Linked DNA regions of Arabidopsis thaliana. The protein of the gene in region 1 purifies or fractionates together with the protein of each later gene. This does not show direct contact. Each region holds a gene or a part of one and is shown in the gene's direction. Other genes may lie near its edges.

Region 1 (4,398 bases):
GTTAACTGAGAAGCTATGTGTTTAAGGAATAGAATGGTTTAAGTTAGTAGCTTTGGATGTTTGGGTTATATATAAACTGCTTCGACATTAATAATTTCAGTTAAGGCAAAAAGATTTTTAAAAGCAAAAGTTATGGTTATTAGTCGTAATCAACTTCAAGCCATTATTATGGTTATTAGTTGAAATCAACTTCAAGCAAACATTTATCATTGTCTAAAGCTCACATTTATCACTATCAAAAGCTTTATCATTTGTCAAAAACCATTTATCACAGTGAAAAGCTATGTAACGTCTATCCACAAAAAAAATAACAATCAATGCTATATAACAATCAATCAAGTACATATTTACCTTCATTGAAGTGCATAGACGAATTCCTTTACAGTTTCTCCTTAACTCACAACCACTTGCTCATCCGCCATTGACACTCACCAAAAGCATAGAGAAAAAAACAACAATTAGCATTTACAGTTAACTTTACAATTTGATTCAATCACATAAACAGATATTAAACAACAAAGTTTACATTTACTAAACCCAATCAATCACATCTACATATACATTAAAAAGAAAATCAAACTATCGAACGATCTATGACCATATAAATCTATACAACATGTCTCCAAAACGATCTATGACCATACAAAACTATAGAAAATGCTTCAAGATATATCAAAAAACACCCTAATCTTGCTACAAACGAAGAACCCTAATTTTAAAAAAAGAACCCTAAATTTTCTTCAATTCAAAAACCCTAATTTTTTTGATTAAACCACCAAATACAACATCTAATCACGTAATAAAGACTAGAATTGATTCATACCTAAATTGGGGAAGGCGTCGGCGATAACTCTCCGAATCCAATTTGCTATTTTTCGATTTCAGCAAACTTCCGCCGATGTGAACACCGTTGAAAGCCTAAGATAACACAGCGAAATACAAACAATCACCGGCGTCAATTATTCTGGTTTTTCAAAGATTGAGCAATTTTTCTTTTGTCAATGTCGCGAAGAGAAAGAGAAGGAGAGAGAGAAAAGAATTTGTTCGGGCAAAACAAAGAAAATGAAATCAATCATTTTTATTTTTTTCTTTTGTTTAAAGAAGATAACCAATGAATGTATGCCACATGTTCGCCTCTCTCATTCCCTCATAAACTCTCTCCACAGAAACGCTTCTCTAGTTTTTCTTTCAGTTTGATTAAATTTTAATCAAAATAATCAACAGAGACTCTGCAAAATTTCAACAGAGCCCAGCGTTGGAGATGGCCTAACGTCCATTACAAAATCACTAAACAGACCTTTGGTCAAGTTGGTATAATCTTGTGATGCTAGTTTTGTTACCTACACAAAACGGGTTTAAAACATCAAACATCCCACGTCCCCTTCAAATCCGAAAAAGCTATATGCCAGTCTATAACTATAGAGCTTCGGTAAAATTGCATGATGTCTTGTGATGGGGTTACATATCAGAAGTCCACCCTGGTATTAACTACCATGGAAATAGACTAAACCAGAGGCGTAGCCACGTGACTTTTTTTTAGGTTAACATAATGATTGTTTGGAGAGAATTTCCCATGAAATTCGGCAGCTGCTACAAGAGTGGACGACGATTCCTCATATAAATTATCAAGCTGAAGCGACGAGAAAAAGCTCCACACACCACATGATTCTTCTTTAACGTCGCCTTTCTCAACTAAGGCGAATAAGAGGCGCGGCTTAGCCGATGACCTGGTCAAGAACAAGTTCTTGAAATATGGACTACCAAACATTGATGCCCATAGCTTCGACACACAATGAAACCTCGCTAATGACTTTAAAGGTAATCTCGACAATATCTCCATGATGAGATCATTTGATTTGGGAGTCGGAGATAATGAATCCTTGTTTGTTGATACGTTATAAACCTAGAAACCCCTAGCGAGAGCCGAGAGACCTAGCTTCTTCATATATACATTTCGTTAACTTGGAGAGGACACCTCAAACTGTCGCATTTAATTTTAATTAACTAGGCCCACGTAAAAATATTCTCGGCCCAAATAGTTACATTGTTGAAAAGAAACCGATCAAATCCAACGGCTGTGATTCATTCATCTTCAAGATCAGAGAGATTGATTATTTCAAAGAAACTGAAGAAGAAATCTGCAAATTCATCTTCTCTTCTTCCTCCGATTCCATCTTTCTCCGTTTCCGGCGATAATCTTCATCGCTTCTTCAGGTTCATGTTTTTCCAGATTCTTTGATGCCTTTTATGTATCTCTGACTCTCCACGGTTTCTTAATATGAATTCTTCTTCGCTTCATTTCTGATTCGCGATCGTCAGATTCTCTGGTTTGTTTGAAATTCGAATCCGTGTGTCTGATATTTCGATTCCTGGATCATTTGGTATGAATAATCAGAAAAAATGTTTGGTGTTGCATCTGATGCGTTGATTCTGCTACTATGCTATGAGAATTTGAATTGCAATGAATCGATTAGATTTAAGAACTCCTCTGAACAATGAGTTGATTAATGGAGATTATAGTGGTTATTGTGGATATGATTCTTTTGGTTATTGATACTTGGTTCCTTCTTTCATGTAGTTGATTATCTTTAGAATGGAGCTAAAGAATGTCAAAGATGCGTTTGATCGTGTTACCAAAAAGCAGAAACTATGCTATAGCAAAACGCATGAAGTGGTAGACAAAATGTCTCAAGAAATCGACAAGGCATTGAAAACGATACAGGAGGATAATCATGAATCTGTTGTTGCTGATCTGAAGAAAACTTTTGAGGAGATTGCTCCAATCAATCTACTAGAAGCGTCTCAGAAAGAAATAAATGGGGTTCTTACCAAATACCCGAAAGCTCTTGACAAAACTCTGAATCCAGATATATCGACGGCTTACAGAAACGTTAAGTTTGATACTCATACAGTTCATCAGATACTAGCTCAGTTTTTCTACAGGCAAGGCATGTACGACGTTGGTGACTGTTTCATTTCCGAGACTGGTGAGGTTAAGCCTGAATCTTCTGTTACTAAAGCTTTCATGGAAATGAATATGATACTTGAAGCCATGAAAGAACGGGATCTCGGACCAGCTTTGAAATGGGTAGCTTCAAACTCTGACAAGCTAAAGGAAGCAAAGTCAGATCTTGAGTTGAAACTTCACAGCCTTCACTTTTTGGAGATAGCTAAAGACAAAACCTCCGAAGAAGCTATCAACTACGCGAGAAAACACTTTGCTACGTATTCAGCAGATAGCTGCTGTTTCCCTGAGATACAGAAACTCATGTGCTCTCTCTTATGGATCAGAAACCTCAATAAATCCCCATACTCAGAGTTCCTCTCACCTGTATTGTGGACCAACGCTGCCAAGGAACTAACCCGACAATACTGCATCCTACTCGGTGAATCACCAGAGAGTCCTTTAAGTGTAACAGTTGCAGCAGGTTCACAAGTTTTACCGACGTTTTTGAAGTATTTGAACGTGCTGCCGGAGAAAAGAAAAGAGTGGCAAACAATGGAGCAACTTCTTGTACCTGTGGAACTCTCTGAAGAGTATCGCTTCTACTCGGTCTTTGTCTGCCCTGTCTCTAAAGAACACTCGAGCGAAGATAATCCGCCGATGAGATTGGCTTGCGGTCATGTCCTTTGCAAGCAGTCTATCAACAGAATGTCGAGGAATGGTTCAAGGTCGTTCAAGTGTCCTTATTGTCCAACAGATATTGATGCTTCGCAGTGTAAGCAGTTATATTTTTAGACTAGCTTTACAACTTCTTATGCAGCATTTCTAAAGAAAGTAGACAAATGTTTCTTATCTTTTCTTTTATGAACTTGAATTGGGTTCGTGTACAAAAACTATAGTTTGAAATAAAACCTTTTATACCCATATGGTCTTTGGTCTAGTGGTCTTGAATTTTGAATGACAGGAAGATCCGTTATCGCGCCAACTTTGATCACTTGCCAAGACAGAACTTACCGATTCATCATACGACCATCATTCGTCGTTCACTCACCAATGTTTCATTTTTTAAGTATTGATTGTCGAATATCTTTATCTATACGAAAATGGAAACGTTAAACTTTGGTGCTTCGAAAAGAAAACACTTTAAAATTTGGTATATCATTCACTTAATACAATACAACCCCAAGGATCAAACTCTTTATGTTTGGAGAGCTTTTTGAGATTCTTAATGGATAAAGTACATTATAAAAGAGTTATTAAATTAAAGATAAGTATTTAGGGTCATTTTGTCTTCTTGATCATTTCAAAACTCTCCTCTCTCCACTAACATAAATTTGTGAACTACTTTTTGGCTTTTGGTCTACATAAATTAATACGTGTCCATGTATATACTAAATCTTGAACTTGTTTAGATATGATATGAACTTTTAGATATAGTCGTGCGAACCATTATT
Region 2 (5,111 bases), on another chromosome or scaffold:
AATAACAAGAGAGGGTTTTTGTTTTCAAATGTTGGTTTACTGGTTAGGCTTTTATTCTCCACCATGGTATGGTTCCTATAAAGCTACATAAGAATTCATTTTGAAGTTTGTTTGGTGTGTGACCGAAGAACCAAAAAAAAAAAAACAGTTGCTCATTCTTTGTCTACTTATCTCACTATTCGGCAATGCATATACGTCCTAATCTTTGTTTTGCTTATCTTAGTTATTCTATCTCTCTCCCTTACCTAAAAAGCTGGCTTCAAAGGACTTGACGGATCGTTTATAAAACAGACTAGTCATAAACATAGATTTATATTCGAGATGGCTTCAAATACGAATCTTAAACTGTTTATAGTATATATAGTATCTAATAGCTGCGGGTGTTGTGAAAGGGAACTTAGTGTTGACCATGGTCATGGAGTTTAACCAAGAAGTTTGTTGAACCAAGGATTCACACAATAGATTTGTTTAGAGAGGGAAAACAAATCTAGTAATTTCTCTTCATTAGGTATTCTATCCAAGACTCGATTACAAGAGGGGTTCTAATCTCTTATGAAATACATTAGGGTTTTGCTCAAGAACAGAAAAAGAATTAAAGTTTTAAAAAGGTATAGCTGCATCCATGATGGATTGCCTACGTACCCTGTGAAGGGATCAAGCCATTCGTAGTTCTCAATAGGTATAAAGTTCTATGTTTCTTGTGAATATCCCAAGATCTCCCCCTTTTTGTGAAGTCCCTAAGGCACTTTATATAGGATCCTTAAACCGCCTCCCTAGCGATATTCTTCGGAAGATTCTTATTTATCCTTAGGTCGGTTCTAGAGGATAATCGTCCTAAGGATATTCTCCTTATTCTTCGGAGGTTTTGGGGAGATTTCCTGATTTCGACATTATCTTCAAAGATTCTCCTTTATCATTTCTGAAAGTCCCATAAAAGATCCCATTTTACCGGAAATGATCCTTGGAGAATGAATGGTTTTTACAAGTCTTTGCCTCGCGTGTTCTTCACGGCTCGGTGGTCGTTTGAGAGGTGGCTTCGGGGCAAACGGTATGTACCGGCTCGGGGCGCGCTTGATGACTGTCCATTAAGCTCAGTTGGCTGTCTCCCGAGCCGATATAGATGTGTCCCGCAGCGTTCTCACGATTGGCTCGGGCTGTGTTCATATGATTAACACCCGAGCCATTTTACAAACTCTCTTCGGGACGGTCGATCGAATAAGGTCCCGAGGTGCTTTGTTCTAGGCTAGGGGCCAATCATATGTTTAACCATGAGGTGATTGTTATTCTTAGACTGTTTGGCTCGGTCTTGCTTGTGGGGGAATCCGACCCCAACGAAGTTGTACCTTGACGGAAGAGAGCACGAATGGGATCGGTGCGGGTGTCTGGAAAGTGCCTGAAGAAGGTTCATGTGATGATCAAACTCTGGAATGCTACTGGGAGTACTGACTGTACCAAAACCTCCTCCAACAGTGCCACAGGGAACAAGCAAGCCCCATATCAATGTGTGATGAAGTTGAAGGAGCAGGGTCGTAAGGTGGACTTCCACAGTTAGAAGGAGGCTTGTGTGATGGAGGAGCTCCATATCCTTCGTCATAGTACTGATTTCCGGATCTGAATAAAGAAGCATGGCATCATTTGGAAGTAAGAGATCACATGAGAATACCATCCCTAGAACCGAGAGAGAAAAGTTTATGTTAATAAATTTTTATTGTATAATTGATATTGAAAAACATTAATAAACAGTGTTCACATAAGGTGTAAATTCACCCCAAAAGCACTCTAAAAAGTAAAAACCAAAAGAGAAAAAAACATAGAAATGGTTACTTAATAATATACCGAGTTTCATCTATTTACTTAATAATATACGGTTATTTGATTTACCGGTTAACTAAAAAATATCTGGTTTAATCGTATTTATTGTTGGCAAACACAACATTGGGCGCGAAGTGGTTTTTGATGCCCTTCAACAACATTTGGGGGTTTCATTTCAATCGCATTTCTAGGGTTTCTTTCTCTACGATTCAATAGATTCGGACGAATTGGGGGATTCTGACCAGAGAGAAGCTATGGAGGAAAACGAAGAGGAAGAAGAATTGCGGCCAACGGCGCTATACACGGTCGGTGGTTCAGACGAATTTACCTTTGTTTCTCCCGATGGGCTCTCCGGTCAATACACGGGCCCTGATCACGACGGCGTAGTTCTTCAGACTGAAAATCCGGCGCCGACTAACTGTCTTGCTTACTACTTCGAGGTTCATATCATGAATGCTGGTGAAAAAGGAGAGATCGCGATTGGTTTCTCCAAGGAACACATCTATAGCGAAGGGTATCGTTTTCTTTCCCTTTCAATTCGCATTTACCACTTATTGCGTGATTTGATACTCAATACAATCATTGATTCTGTTTGATTTGGTACCTGAGACTGAGAGAACAAATTGGGAAATAGGTTTAGATACAATGGTAGATCAGTAGTTCAAATCACTGTTTCAATGGTTTGGATTCGTTACTTGGAAATAGGTTATGTGATTTGCTGCTCAATTTGATTGTGTTGGCTGTTAGATCTGGTATCTTACAAGTTAATGGGAGATTTGCTTTGTTAGATGTTTTCACCTTTCAGTAATTAAGCATTCCAATTCACTGTTTCATGTTTCTCTGTAATGTTAGATATACTGTCAGAAGCTGTGCCTACATTGGTAACAGTGGACTCATATGCTCTCAAAATGGAGATGGTGATCGAACTGTTGCTAAAGCCAGTGACACCTATACAACAGGTGATTTAGTTGGTTGCGGTATAGACTCGGTTTCACAAGAATTCTTTTTCACGTAAGTAATAACTGTTTCCCTATCTGAACATGTTTCATTACAATTGGAAAAGTAGATATCAAGATACACAATTCATTTCTTCATGTCACAATGTTTTTGACATGTCCCTGCGTATGTTTTACTTGCTGACATCTATGACTACTTCTTTGATTATAGGAAAAATGGAACTATCGTAGGGACAATCCCCAGGCAATTTAGGCGTCCTGTATACCCGACAATTGTTTTGCATAGCCAAAACGAAGCTGTCACTGTCAATTTCGGCGGACAGATTGCGTTTTCTTTTGACTTTGAGGTAAGGTCGTACTTTTCTTTTCTTGCATAGTCGGAGAATAACTATTGAGTAAGCAGAATAATATGCATCTCTCACATATGTCCATATTTGCATGTATGTGGCATATTTTTCTGATACAATATTCTATTATCTGATCCACCTTTATTTCAGCATTTTGAAGAATCATTGAGGGTTAAAAAAGAAAGGGAAATTGAAAAGATTTCCATGTCTCGCAGCATTAGTCATGGGTAAAGTGTCTTTTCCTGCCTGTTCTTAATTGTAATTCTTGTTTCTGTTTGTGCTAAAGCTTCCTTTTTCCAGGCTTGTAAAAACCTACCTTCTTCGTTATGGATATGAAGATAGCTTTAGAGCTTTTAACCTGGCTGCAAGTCGTCATACTGTTATTGCACAAGAAAATAGTTTTGATGAGTATGAATTGCATCAAAGGAAAAAGCTCAGAGAGGTACTTTTCACTGCTATGGTTATCTTGCTGTAATTTTTTTTTTATTTTTTTTCTGTGAGGTACAAAATCAACCAAAAGCAAGCTACATTGCTACATCTTTTCTGTTTCATATCGAACTGATCCATGCATTCTGTTTGTTAAAGCTTATAATGACTGCTGAGATTGATGATGCTATTGCTGCACTCAAGGATAGATATCCCCAACTTATTGAGGTGGGCTGAGTAACTAGTTAATATATCGAGTGATTCACATTGTTAACATTCCTTGAACTATTTTAACAAGCTGCTTGTATCATATGCAGGGTGGATCAGAAGCTTATTTTCTTCTTATCTGTCAAAAGATTGTCGAATTAGTACGGGTATGTTCTTTATTCCTTGTATATTTGTTACACATATCCATGGTGTGTTTCTCTAACTAACTACAATGCAGAAAGGAGCAATAGCAGAGGCTAAGTCATTTGGAAATCAAGATTTTAAAGACTTTAGGGATTCAAGCCTACTAAAAAACCTTTTCGATGTATGTAGTGATTCTCTAACTGTTAGATTAGGTTTCTCATATTTGAGTCACTAATAGTTTTGTTTTTCTCTATTTCAGGATTGCTCTGCTTTGTTCGAGTGTGAAACTATAGAAGAATCAGGTGCTGCATATCTTCTAGGAGAAACACAGAAGAACATAGTAGCAGCTGCAGTCAGTGAAGCGATTCTATCTACAAATCCGGCCACCAGAGACCAGCAATCTGCTTCACTTGAGCGAGTGCTTAGACAGTTTGAAGCCACCTGCTCACTCTATGCTCGTGAATAAAATCTTGACTTTTTCTGTTTTTCTTTTTATCTTTTCTCTTGATAGAGTCATTGTGTAAGCTCAAATGTTCTAAAACTAGCGATCATACTTTAACTTGATTCACAACTATATACGAGATTATATTGGAGCTTGAAAATTTTTATTTACAAGTATTTATCTACAAATCGGCAAATATTGAGCTGCTCATACTAATTTTGATAATTTAATCGGCTACAAATTTTAATGACATGTTGTTGTTAGCTGTAAGTTAAAATATGAAATCGAAAGTCTTTTGTTTATTGCTTTCAACTTAAGCCTTTGTGATTACAAGCTATGTCTATTTATACATCTAGATTGATTTAACCTAGTGTCTTCTTGATTTGCATAGCTGTCACTTGGCTGTTATGTGGCGTCGTTGTCTTCACATGATTCAAGAGCCTCATAGCGATTCCTCGTCGTTACTTCCGTACTGCGTGGAGATAAGGACCGCTCTGCAACTTTTCTGCTTTTGTCCTTTGTTGTTGCAGGTTGTCGTTGCACTATGTTGGGCTTGGCTCTTGGATTGGGCACTTGTTTCGGATTGGGCTTTAATGGTTTTGAGCCCAATTCCAAAACTGTGTCGTTTGGAGCTGTTCTGTTGATACTCCCCCTCAAACTTGGAGGAGGTGGGAAATCGACACCAAGTTTGAATCGGAGAGATTCGAAAGGAGCCTTGGCGAGAGACTTTGTAAATATGTCAGCGAGCTGTAGATAACCCGGGATATGATGGACGAT
Region 3 (5,525 bases), on another chromosome or scaffold:
CCCTAAATCAGAAAACCCAAAAGTCACGGAATTTCAGCTCCCGGGAAACCCAAATCGAAATTCAGAAGTAGACGCGTAGATCCAGAGATTGTAGAATTTTCAGGTACGACGAAGAAGAAGGCTTGAGAATTGGGTTTTGAAGGAATTTTCGAGGAAAGGTAGAGAGCAGTTGGGATAGAGAAAATAAAAATCGCGACTTTTTGTAGCGACGGTGGCTTCTTTTTATTGCCTTGTTCTCTCTTTTGGCTTTCTCCGAATTGGAAAAAGTAAACACCACAAGGCTATGGGACTTCCGGCTTTAAATAAGGAACGGTCGAACATTTGTTTTTCTTTTTCTTTCATTTTTTTCCATTTTTTCATTATTTAATAATGCATGATTATATATAATTATATTTTATGCGCCGTCATCTTTATTGTTAAAGCAAAATCACAATTTAAACAAAAGGAAACAACTTTAATTAGTAGTAGGAAACTGAAGTGTTTAAGTAATGGAGATTTTTTTGAAGTGTTTGCTAATCATAATTTATTGTAAAAATTATTTTTAATTGTGTGAAAATTAGATTTTCTACACTAACAAAAAAATTTCATATGTTAAAGAAAACAAATATGAAACTAAATCACAAAGATCAATTGGAATTAGACATGTGGATCGACTCATTAGAAAAATAATCATCTCAATCAATAAGAAGAGATAAAACATATATTTGACTAAATGATCTTACCAATCTTGTGGTCATAAAATTCTACAAAGCACTATATTGCTAATTTCTACAAAGCACATTTGTAATCTTCTGAATCATTTGTTAGCCCTAAAAGAAGACTAGTATTATACGAGATCACCATTTTTATGATTGATCAAATATCTTGTAGAGCGCAAAACTTTGTAGGTAGTTTGATGAGAAAGAGCTTGCTTATTATGTGATCAACAATTCCGTTCTTGCCATGTCTCAAAGTAGTTGCTTGCCATATTAATTGATATGAAGAGCCTTTGATTTTGCAGAGATAGGAATTGCCAAAAGAAACCATATGAGGATTGACTCGAGAAGTTTTAGTGTAACTTCTTCACTAAGTCCTTCCAAACCAGTTGGGAAAAATAATATTAAAGAATAAGTGGTCCATTGATTCTTAGTCGGTCAACTAGCTAGAAGACCTCAAATTCTGCAATCGATCCTTTGTCTTATTGTGGTTCCACACAAACAACCATGTGCAAAGAACAAAACATGTTTTGGGACTTTAGTTTGAAGATGCAATTAAACATATTGTTAGATTGTTGACCAAGAAAAAACATATTGTTGAGATTGAAAGATATATTTTGCATCGGACTGCAAAATGTTTATGTCACATATTTGTTACCTAATAGTTGATTTTAATAGAGTATAATAGAGTATCAGTTATTGGTTTTAAATTGTGTATCAAATTCCAAATAATATAGAGATTTTTAACATCAGTCTTATTTAATTATGATTTTAACCAAGTGTCGTTAGCTCAATTGGTAAAGACCTTATGCAAAGCTTAGAGGTCGCCGGTTCGAGTGACGCTTGGGACGAAACTAATATTTTATGCTGTGGTTTCAGGCCTGGGGGATTACGGACTTTGACCCACAACCTCCAAGATTTAAAAAAAAAAATAAAAAAAAATTATGATTTTAAATCGAAATTTTGTTCTTCAAAGGTAAAATAGTTTAAAAATCTTTGGGTATTAAAATCATTTGGAAATGAGTTACATAATACTATCCGGTATATAAAGAACCAAATCCAAAAACAAACCGGTTCCCTTAATAATTTAAACCGGATTATTCATCGACGGTTCGTCAACATCCTAATAATTTAAACCCGATCTCTTCTTCTCTATCGAAAACCTCCAACTTTTTTTTGTTTTATCAGATTGTAAATTTAGGGAAGAGACTTTCGCAAGCAATCTAGAAGCAAATCGATCGCCAAATCTCCGGATTATTTGCAAGAATCGTTCCCAGATAATCTTCCCCAGATTCTCCACTTCTCCAGGTACATCGTTATATTCAATTTTTGAGGAAAATAGTCGCACACTCTCTCTTTCTTAGAACTACCACTCCTGTGCTGTTTTGAGATTAAAGCTTGAATTTTGACTAAAGCCCTAAATTACTTTGTATCACTATCTGATCACAAAGTCAATTTCTTTTGGAAATAGCTCTGATCGGAGTGTTGCTCGAACAGGTATTAATTTCGTATTGAGTGGATTAGATTAGATTTCAAGATATGAGAGCCTCACTGGCGTTCTAATGTCACTGTTTCGTATTTTTATCAATCAGCTTGAAGAAGACGACGAAGATATGGTAATTTTGACTCCTCTTATGAGTCTGTTCTTTGTGTTATTTGATACAACTTGATGATGGGTTTTTGGAAAACTTTAATCTTTATGCACGTTGTGTGACCTAGTTTTAATCGTGGCTTGTCGCAGGCTACTTCGAAGAAAATGATCACACGTGAAGAATGGGAGAAGAAACTAAATGCTGTGAAGCTTAGGAAAGAAGATATGAATACTTTGGTGATGAATTTTCTTGTGACTGAAGGATATGTTGAAGCTGCTGAGAAATTCCAAAGGGAGTCTGGAACCAAACGTATCCTTTTTCTGATTCTGGTTTTGAGTTTTTGTTTATGGAATTGGTGTGTTTGATGTTTAGCTTATCTACTCCTTTTGAACTTCCTTATCGAGAAACAGCAGAGATAGATCTTGCGACCATTACTGATCGAATGGCTGTTAAAAAGGCTGTTCAAAACGGAAATGTCGAGGATGCGATTGAAAAAGTTAATGATTTGAATCCTGAGGTACAATGCTTCTTCATATCTTGTGTGGAGAGTAGTCATTCACTTTTCTGATGTAATAAAGAAGCAAAATCTGATTCTTCTTTGAACCCATGCTTGCAGATACTAGACACGAATCCGGAGCTCTTTTTTCATCTTCAGCAGCAAAGGTTGATAGAATTAATTCGACAAGGGAAGACAGAAGAGGCCTTAGAGTTTGCTCAGGAGGAACTTGCACCACGTGGCGAAGAAAACGTAAGTCTTTGTATTTCACTTTGATTTCTGTCGTTAAAGATGGTGTTTTCCATGTGTATTGCTCATTGACTGTGTGTAATATCTGTTGTTGCTGAAACTTCATTCATACAGTCTGTTATATCTCTCTGCAGCAAGCGTTTCTGGAAGAATTGGAAAAAACTGTAGCCCTACTTGTTTTTGACGATGCCTCTACCTGCCCGGTTAAAGAGCTTCTTGATCTTTCCCACCGTCTTAAGACAGCAAGTGAAGTAAATGCAGCGATTCTTACAAGCCAGAGCCACGAAAAAGGTAGCTTTTGAATTTTGATGTTATACTGGTTGTCTTTTAGTAGCCACAAAATACCATTATAATCTCGAGCATCATTCATTATCAATCTTAAGATTCAAAGTATATGCAACTCTTCTCTACATAACAAGTAAAATTTTTCATTCATTACTTCACCCACAACATGTATCATCCAAGTTCTTCTTGAAACTTTCCATTTTCCTCCATGGTTAATGTAGCAACTCAATGTTTGTGAACAAACAGATCCTAAACTTCCAAGCTTGTTGAAGATGTTGATTTGGGCTCAAACTCAACTGGACGAGAAAGCAGTGTATCCGCACATTAATGATTTGTCTACCGGTAAGCTCGAAGACCCGTCAGAATGATTCCGTACTTCTTTCAGCCATTGGAAATCAGTAGCAAAAAGGAACAATGAATGGTGCTCTCTTCTCTTCCCGTCAATCTCAATAACTTACAATTCATATGCTTTCTGCTTTTCCTTTTCTTCTGCATCGGGATTTGTTGGACCCGCAATCGTTAGGATATGGGGAGGGGAACATAAGCTTTTGTAGGCAATGAATTACTCTAGTCAAATGTTCTTATTATCAACATATTTGATGACTCATTGCATACGTGCATTTGATTTGAATGAAGTTATCGACTTTGTTTGGATCTTTGTGTTTGTTTTGAGGAATATTTTTGTTCCAAAAGGTTCGAATTGTAAACAAGAGAGATGGCTTATTCATCCCATGTATAGTTACATGAATCAATGAATCAACTTGGCACGGTTCCTACTTACCTAGAAAGCAACATGACCTATTGAATTGAGTGCTGTTACCGTCGAAATGGAGAATCTCTGCGAACCGTACTGAAACATCATTTGATTTTTCTTCTTCTTCGCAAAATATTATTTTGGTACTGACACAGCTTTGAATCTTGCATGACATGGTACGAAGTAAATAAAGGGAAGTAGTAATAGCAACTTTTTGATATATAAAATAGGAAACATAATCCACAAGACTCAAGACCTTATGTTGACTCTAGCCATCTCAATCTTGCATGATATGGTCTTCCGGATCATAGGATTTGGAGGGTTTGCTCTCCACCTCATCTTCGGATGCGGGTCGGCCCAAATTGCTTTGTCCGCAGTCAACATCTGCAAACTCCTCAGACACGAGCGGCACCTTTTCCTTGATGCTTCTAAGTTTGGCCTCTACCTTCTCAGCTTCATCAACTACATCTGACACATAATTAAGGATCCATCCGCAGTTCGCTGCACATACCCCTTCCTGCAACTCCTCGCGTAGCCCTTCCTGGAACAGACACGCCAGCTGCTCTTCCTCCAACTCTCTTCCGAGGTTCTTGACCTTCTTAAGGAACTCGTTATAATACTCACGCACTGTCTCTGTTCCTTGCTTCACCTCAAAGGCTTCCCAGCTCAAGGCAATGTTGACGTCAACCAGCTTAGACTCATCGAAGGCTCCGCGCTCAGAAGCTTCTCGGGGTGGCTGATCCTCCTCCCCAACTACCCCTGTGAGCTCAAAGTTTTTTGGTTCACCAGATGTCTTGATCGACCTGGTCTGCCTGCGGGTCAATAATTCATCGAGTTTTATACATTTAATAATTTGTTACAAAATATGAAAACAAGGATAGTTTTCAGTTAGAAAAACAATTTATTATCTTAGAAAATCATGACTATGCTAAATCTAATATATTTAAATAAAAAACTTTACATCAAAATTCTAACAAATTATCAAATATTATGGATTTGAGGGAGTATAAATTATCATTATAATTCAACAAAATTAAAACTGAATTTTGCGAAAACATAATTTATATGAAACTCGAGTATAAAAATGATGACTCGAAATGGATCAAATAGAATAAAGCAATCGTAATGTCGAATAGTGGAAAAGAGATTTATATCTTATTTTATTTTGTCTGAAAAAGATCTATCTTCACCTATTTTTATTGAACTTTAAATATTTTAAGCAAAAATAAAATTGATTCAATTTGATATAAAATGAGCAAAGACCTTTTGATCATGATCCTTTACAAGATTTTCATTTCATGCTTTATCATTACAGAAAAAAAAAATCTAACAAACTAATCTGAAAGCTAAAAGATTGAAAATAATATAGTTTCTTAATATATTTTATCAAAATCATTAATAGATATTGTGAAATAGATAATAGAAAATTGAGAATATCTAAGGAACTTACAAAT
Region 4 (6,226 bases), on another chromosome or scaffold:
GATTTTAACATTGGGTGGATTAGCGTAGGATTATCGAATTTACTGATCCAATTGCGGAATTATATTGGAGTATGACACAATAAATTAAATACAGAAAATTACAAAATAAATTTTATTAAATAGAAAATATTATGATTATGATTTATGATGTAAACTATCAAACCAAAATTGCCACAAATATTTCCTCACGCTGCACATCGTGGATCCTTATCTAGTTTACCTTTAGATTTTCAAACCTCTAAAATTGAAATAATGTTTGATAATTTTCAATAATGCAAAAAAAGAATGAAGAAGAAATTCAATCAAAACAAAAGACAAACATATCACATATAAACTTCATTGTTCTGATGCTTCTTTGATTTAGCAATTTTGGGGAAAAATAAGTTCGAATGCAAAAATAAAGTTTGTAATTATTCAACAAAAAATTCGGGCATACCAATTTTTTTTCTTTCTTTTAATCGTTTGAATGCAATTTTTTTGTTCGGAATATGAACATGGCATGTAGAAAGATGAAATGCTTGCTAGAGCGTTGAAGTTTAGAGAAGCGTTTGTTAGCATGAAAGCTTTTGATACCAATGATAAATTTTTGATCTATTGAAACCTTTTAGTGTTATTATCACTTACTTTTTAGGCTCTAAGTATCCCACATCCAATGTATACTTTACACAAATATGGAGGATTGAGTTGTTGCTGAAGAAGTATGCTATTTGTGATGATGATGTTGTTGAGCAAGTGGCTCAAGAGATGCATGGTAAATTTTCCGAGTATTGGGAAGATTATAGTCTCATTTTGGCTATGAGAGCAGTTTTGGATCCGAAGCTTAAATTGAAGATGCTTGAAGTAGCTTAAAAGAAAGTAAATTCTACTACTTATAAGTTAAAAATTAAAGGGCTCGAGAAGAATTTGATGATATTGTATAAAGTTGGAACTTGGTGAATTAACTTAATGTGAGTTTTTGTAACATAAGATCTATTTGAACTAGAAAGAAGTATTGAAGACGGTGTGAACAACACAAAGACACACTTGGATATTTATTTGGATGAGAGTGAAAGTCTTTTTCGAAATTTGGATGTCTTAAGCTATTGGAAAGATAATCAGAATCGATTTGGCGGTTTAGCTTCTATGACATGCGATGTCCTTAGCATTCCTATTACTAAAGTAGCATCAAACTCAGCTTTTAGCATTGGATCGAGGGTTTTGACTCCATATAGAAATCGCTTGCTTCCAGAAAATGTTCATGTTTGCTTTGTACTCGCAATTGGCTACGCAAGTTTGTTGACTATGAAGGTAAGAGTTTTAAATTGAAAGCTTTATAGGTAATTGAATTATATTAATTAAATTTCATTGTAAATTGTAGGTACCACAGAAGATACCAATGAGTTTAACCATGGAGATACTCGAAAGACTACAAGTAGTTCGAGAGTAGAAGGTTCAAGATCGGAAAAATCAAGTGTGCCATGAAACTTTTGTTTTTTCTCTTTTGTTTTTGAAATATTTTTTATTTTAAGTTTTGTTTTGGTAATAAAACCACTTTTGATATTAAAAGTCTTTATGAATCACATTTGATAAAAACATGGATTTGATTTTACATTTTAAAAGTGTGTATGAATTAAATTTGATAAAACATGGATTAATTTTACATTTTATAAAAAAGTTTGTGTTTTTTTATGAATTGAAACAGCCAACTAATTGGTATATAACTAAATATTATTTATGAAATTTATATAGAGAAATATATATAAGAAAAAAATAAGTCTAACAAATACCGAAACTAGCGGGTCACAAAAATAAACAACGGATCAAAAAATAAATCAAAGAGAAGAAGAAATCTCAACAAATTCTCTAATTCAGTGTTCTTCTTCTTATAGACTCCAAAAACCTCTGAAGAGCCTAATCTCAAAATTTCTAGGGTTTTCTCTAATCGGAACCAAAACCAATGAACTCTTCACCACCACCGGCGAATTCCGCCAACGGCGATACAACCAACAACGGCGAGAACGGTCAAGATCTGAACTTAAACTTCTTAGACAAGATTCGTCTCTCCGCTAAACGAGATGCGAAGGAAGACGAAGGAGAAGAATTACCGACGGAGTTGAATACGATCAATAGCGCCGGCGGATTTCTTGTGGTTTCTCCTGATAAGCTTTCCGTGAAGTACACGAATACGAATCTACATGGTCACGATGTTGGTGTTGTTCAAGCTAATAAACCTGCTCCGATCAAGTGTCTTACTTACTACTTTGAGATTTTTGTTAAAGATTCTGGTATTAAAGGACAAATTGCTATTGGTTTTACTAAGGAAAGCTTCAAAATGCGTAGACAACCTGGGTATTGTTTTCTTTATCTTTGGATTTTGGATCCAATCTTTGTTGATCATTGTGTGTTGAAGTTGTTTAGGGAAGAATCTGAATTTGAAGGATTTAGTTCAAGAAGTATAGTTTTAGCTTGTAGCTTGATCATTGTTGTGTTTAAGGTATGGTTTATTTTAGAAATTGAGGTTTGTGGTATGGTTTTGGGATCCAAGTTGTGGTTTAGTTATTATAGAGATTTAGCTTCTTGGATTAGGTTGTGTGTGTTCTTTCTGGTGAGTTCAGTTGTGTAGAAGTGGTTTAGGGAAGAATCTGAAATTCGAAGGACATTGCTTTGTGGTTTATTTGAAAGCTAGGTTCTTGAGTTTACAAATATGGATGATAGTGCCTTTGAAAGAAGCTTTATCTGCCTAATACTTGAATTTGAGGTTATAGTTTTCTTTTGTAATGGTAGATGGGAAGTGAACAGCTGTGGATATCATGGGGATGATGGATACCTATATCGTGGACAGGGAAAAGGTGAACCTTTTGGTCCAAAGTTTACAAAAGATGATGCAGTTGGCGGTGGTATAAACTACGCTTCTCAGGAGTTCTTTTTCACGTAAGAAAGAAACTGTTTCATGTTTTTTGGTACTTAAATAAGTTCATTACTACTGTGAGTTGAATTCATGATTCATTCATTTTCCTGTTACTCTTTGTCTGTTAAAGCTGATGACATTTTTGATTATTTTTGTTGGTGCCAGTAAAAACGGAACTATTGTTGGGAAAATCCCCAAGGACATAAGAGGTCATCTATTCCCTACTGTAGCTGTACATAGCCAAAATGAGGAGTATGTTCTCACTCTCTCTTTAAAGATCAATACCATTGCCATCATGTATCTCACTCTCTCTTACACAAAGCATATTTTTCTGAAATTTTGGCAGGGTATTAGTCAATTTTGGGAAGAAGAAATTTGCTTTCGATATTAAGGTAAGAGGAAAAATCCTTTCAAACGTGGTTAATTAGGTCTCATAGCTTTATACTAAAGTAAGGATGGTGTAACCAGGACTACTGCTATTGAAATCACATAATAGGTATGCCTCATGTCCGTTCTTGGTACTGGGGTTACCGAATCTATAGCAGTGGTTCTCTTTGTAGACATTGCTCTCACATTTGCTATTTTACTGTTCCTGTGTAATCAAACCTCAAACTCTTGGGCACTCAAGTTATAATCTTTAAACACTGAAGTAGGGCATAAAAATTCTTTCCATTACATATATGTTTGAAATTAAGTAATTGACGAGGGCTGTTTCCCTCTTTCTGTATTATTAGGGATATGAAGCATCAGAGAGGAATAAGCAACAATTGGCTATTGAAAAAATATCCATACCTCCAAACATTGGTTATGGGTGAGTACACTCCTTCCCAGCAGTAACAGATCATGTACTTTTTTAACTTTGAATTGCAATACTTGGTTTCCCTTCTGGACTAGCTTTCTGCTTTATCTATAATTTTGTTTTCTTTATCATTAGGCTTGTCAAGACCTACCTGCTACACTATGGGTATGAGGAGACACTCGATGCTTTCAACCTTGCTACTAAAAATACAGTTCCTCCAATTCATATAGATCAAGAAAATGCTATTGACGAGGATGATTCATCCTATGCTTTGAAACAGAGAAAGAATCTTAGACAGGTATTGAACTTGCTACGGTTTAACATATAAGACATGTTATCTTCTAACTTTATTAGGCTTGTATCTGGCTTTTTTTGGTTCCTATTCAAACCCATACTAAATTACTGCTTCGTTAGTGAATTTGGACTGATTCATTCTTTATTGGGTGTAGCTTGTTAGGAATGGTGAGATTGATACTGCTTTGGCGGAACTCCAAAAGTTGTATCCCCAAATTGTACAGGTGAACTGAGATTTCTTATCATATTGTTGAGATGATCCACTTCACAGGATTGTGATACGAAGTCTTACCCGGCTGTACCTACTGCAGGACGATAAATCTGTAGTTTGCTTCCTCCTTCACTGTCAAAAGTTTATTGAATTAGTACGGGTATGCTCTTCATTCCTTAACCATCTAAATTTCGTGTTCTTAATACTTGTCAGAAATATTCTCTCTCTGTGCATATAAGAATAAAATTTTTGTAATTAAGGAAGCTTTTGATGGATTTGGTGTCTCATACAAAAATTAGCTGCTTGAACTGTGTGATGGACTTTGGTGTTAAACCATAAACTAGTGAAAAAATGCACAGAACCTATAACACACTGGAAACCATGTTACATAGATGCATGGAACCTTGTCACCGTGTATAAATATCACCTTAAGTTAGTTCTCTGGATTATTCCTTCTTTGTTCACTTTCACATCTATGCAGATGGGGCTATTTCTCTAACTATATGGTTTTGGAAAAACATGGCATAAACAGGTTGGAAAACTTGAAGAAGGTGTGAACTATGGCAGACTCGAGTTAGCTAAATTTGTTGGGTTAACTGGATTTCAAGATATAGTCGAGGTACCAATGTCTCCTTTACTCCTTTTTCTTTCAAGCAAGATCTGGTTTCTGAGAATATGTATGTATTGCGTTCAGATACAGAGACTATATATGTTGCTGCTTCGCTTAGGAACTCTATTTTCTTGTTGATTATTCAGGACTGCTTTGCTTTGCTCGCGTATGAAAAGCCTGAGGAATCATCGGTCTGGTATTTCCTAGAAGACTCACAGAGGGAATTAGTGGCTGATGCGGTGAATGCAGCAATACTATCAACAAATCCAAATAAGAAAGATGTGCAGAGAAGCTGTCACTTGCAATCCCATCTAGAGAAACTGCTAAGACAGTTAACCGTGTGCTGTTTAGAAAGGCGGTCACTGAATGGAGACCAAGGTGAAACATTCCGGCTTCGACATGTTCTTAACAACAACAGATAAAGAAGATGAAAATGGCTTAGCCGCGCATATATTTTGAAAACTCTGTTTTTCTATGGTCGTTATCATCATAAGTGGCTTTTGTTCATTACTTGTGTGATATTATGTTGAACTTTCCATTATGTAAAGGAGAAAGTTAGAAAAATGGGTTCGACGTTAAGACACTGGGACTTCCACTGTTATTGGTTCTTTAAAGTTTAGATGATTCAAATTAAGATTTTCAACATTCAAATCAGAAATGGAAAAACTGAATTAGCGGTGGGGGTGTTCGGGTTTAGCGGTATCTTTCGGGTTTTGTAACTTTTGTTCGCTTGGGGTTACCTGAAATTATTCTCAAAAAGAGATTTTATGGTAAACAGAAATTTTTATGAAGAGAATCTTTAATTTTTTATTTTCTTTTCATAATTTCATGTGACGATGTATAAATGTTATGATGGTAAATAAATATTATTGTAAATTATAATCAGTTTTAAACAATCGAGAAAAAACAAATTCTTGTTTAAAATGTAAATTTAATAATTATAATTACAATTTTCACATTTTCAAAATAATAGTAAATATGAAATTTGACCTATCCAATAAAAGCCCAATAACTAATGTAAATAGAGTCTATATTGATCATATTTAGCTTCATCCAATGCTTTTGTGATTAAAAACCCACGTGAAAAAAGGCAATGAGTCCCACATCGGATGCGAAAGCAAGAAAAAATGAAAGTTTGGCTATAAATAGTTAAACATACCGAGTGTTGAACATATATATTTTTCTCATGCTTTGGTTGAAGGTGGCAATAACCTCAAATATATCAGAGGGTGTAGATACTCAACGACTATAGGAGGCAATAACTTGAGCAAACAATTGATTGCAGAAATCCATCGACTAAAGCTGTCACCTGTTTGATTCCAGCTTTTGTCTCCTTACCTGTTGAGTGTCTAAACTCTCTGGTACGTTCATAGTTGTTGCTGCCTTTCGCTTTTTTTTTTACTACACGCAATTGTTTGAAAGAAA

Evidence for each region.
Region 2: the proteins of AT2G22690 (region 1) and AT4G09310 fractionate together in Arabidopsis thaliana (co-fractionation; one large-scale study listed by BioGRID). This does not show direct contact.
Region 3: the proteins of AT2G22690 (region 1) and AT1G61150 fractionate together in Arabidopsis thaliana (co-fractionation; one large-scale study listed by BioGRID). This does not show direct contact.
Region 4: the proteins of AT2G22690 (region 1) and RanBPM fractionate together in Arabidopsis thaliana (co-fractionation; one large-scale study listed by BioGRID). This does not show direct contact.

What each region holds. Positions count from the first base shown.
Region 1 is NC_003071.7:9,649,161-9,653,558, reverse strand, and holds AT2G22690 (zinc ion binding protein), read left to right. Parts: upstream 1-1,984; 5' UTR 1,985-2,214; exon of another isoform or gene 2,215-2,381; intron 2,382-2,578; 5' UTR 2,579-2,593; coding exon 2,594-3,739; 3' UTR 3,740-3,869; downstream 3,870-4,398.
Region 2 is NC_003075.7:5,900,883-5,905,993, forward strand, and holds AT4G09310 (SPla/RYanodine receptor (SPRY) domain-containing protein), read left to right. Parts: upstream 1-1,930; 5' UTR 1,931-2,066; coding exon 2,067-2,326; intron 2,327-2,664; coding exon 2,665-2,823; intron 2,824-2,979; coding exon 2,980-3,115; intron 3,116-3,265; coding exon 3,266-3,342; intron 3,343-3,415; coding exon 3,416-3,557; intron 3,558-3,700; coding exon 3,701-3,769; intron 3,770-3,858; coding exon 3,859-3,915; intron 3,916-3,986; coding exon 3,987-4,073; intron 4,074-4,151; coding exon 4,152-4,358; 3' UTR 4,359-4,567; downstream 4,568-5,111.
Region 3 is NC_003070.9:22,540,671-22,546,195, forward strand, and holds AT1G61150 (LisH and RanBPM domains containing protein), read left to right. Parts: upstream 1-1,826; 5' UTR 1,827-2,003; exon of another isoform or gene 2,004-2,192; 5' UTR 2,193-2,257; coding exon 2,258-2,311; intron 2,312-2,436; coding exon 2,437-2,596; exon of another isoform or gene 2,597-2,633; coding exon of another isoform or gene 2,634-2,697; coding exon 2,698-2,804; intron 2,805-2,903; coding exon 2,904-3,035; intron 3,036-3,166; coding exon 3,167-3,323; intron 3,324-3,563; coding exon 3,564-3,685; 3' UTR 3,686-4,348; coding exon of another isoform or gene 4,349-4,883; 3' UTR 4,884-4,991; downstream 4,992-5,525. Other genes in the region: AT1G61160 (retrotransposon gag), read right to left, coding at 4,349-4,883, 5,522-5,525.
Region 4 is NC_003070.9:13,050,633-13,056,858, reverse strand, and holds RanBPM (SPla/RYanodine receptor (SPRY) domain-containing protein), read left to right. Parts: upstream 1-1,765; 5' UTR 1,766-1,936; coding exon 1,937-2,328; intron 2,329-2,763; coding exon 2,764-2,910; intron 2,911-3,052; coding exon 3,053-3,139; intron 3,140-3,233; coding exon 3,234-3,279; intron 3,280-3,621; coding exon 3,622-3,698; intron 3,699-3,821; coding exon 3,822-3,984; intron 3,985-4,135; coding exon 4,136-4,204; intron 4,205-4,291; coding exon 4,292-4,351; intron 4,352-4,723; coding exon 4,724-4,810; intron 4,811-4,947; coding exon 4,948-5,223; 3' UTR 5,224-5,702; downstream 5,703-6,226.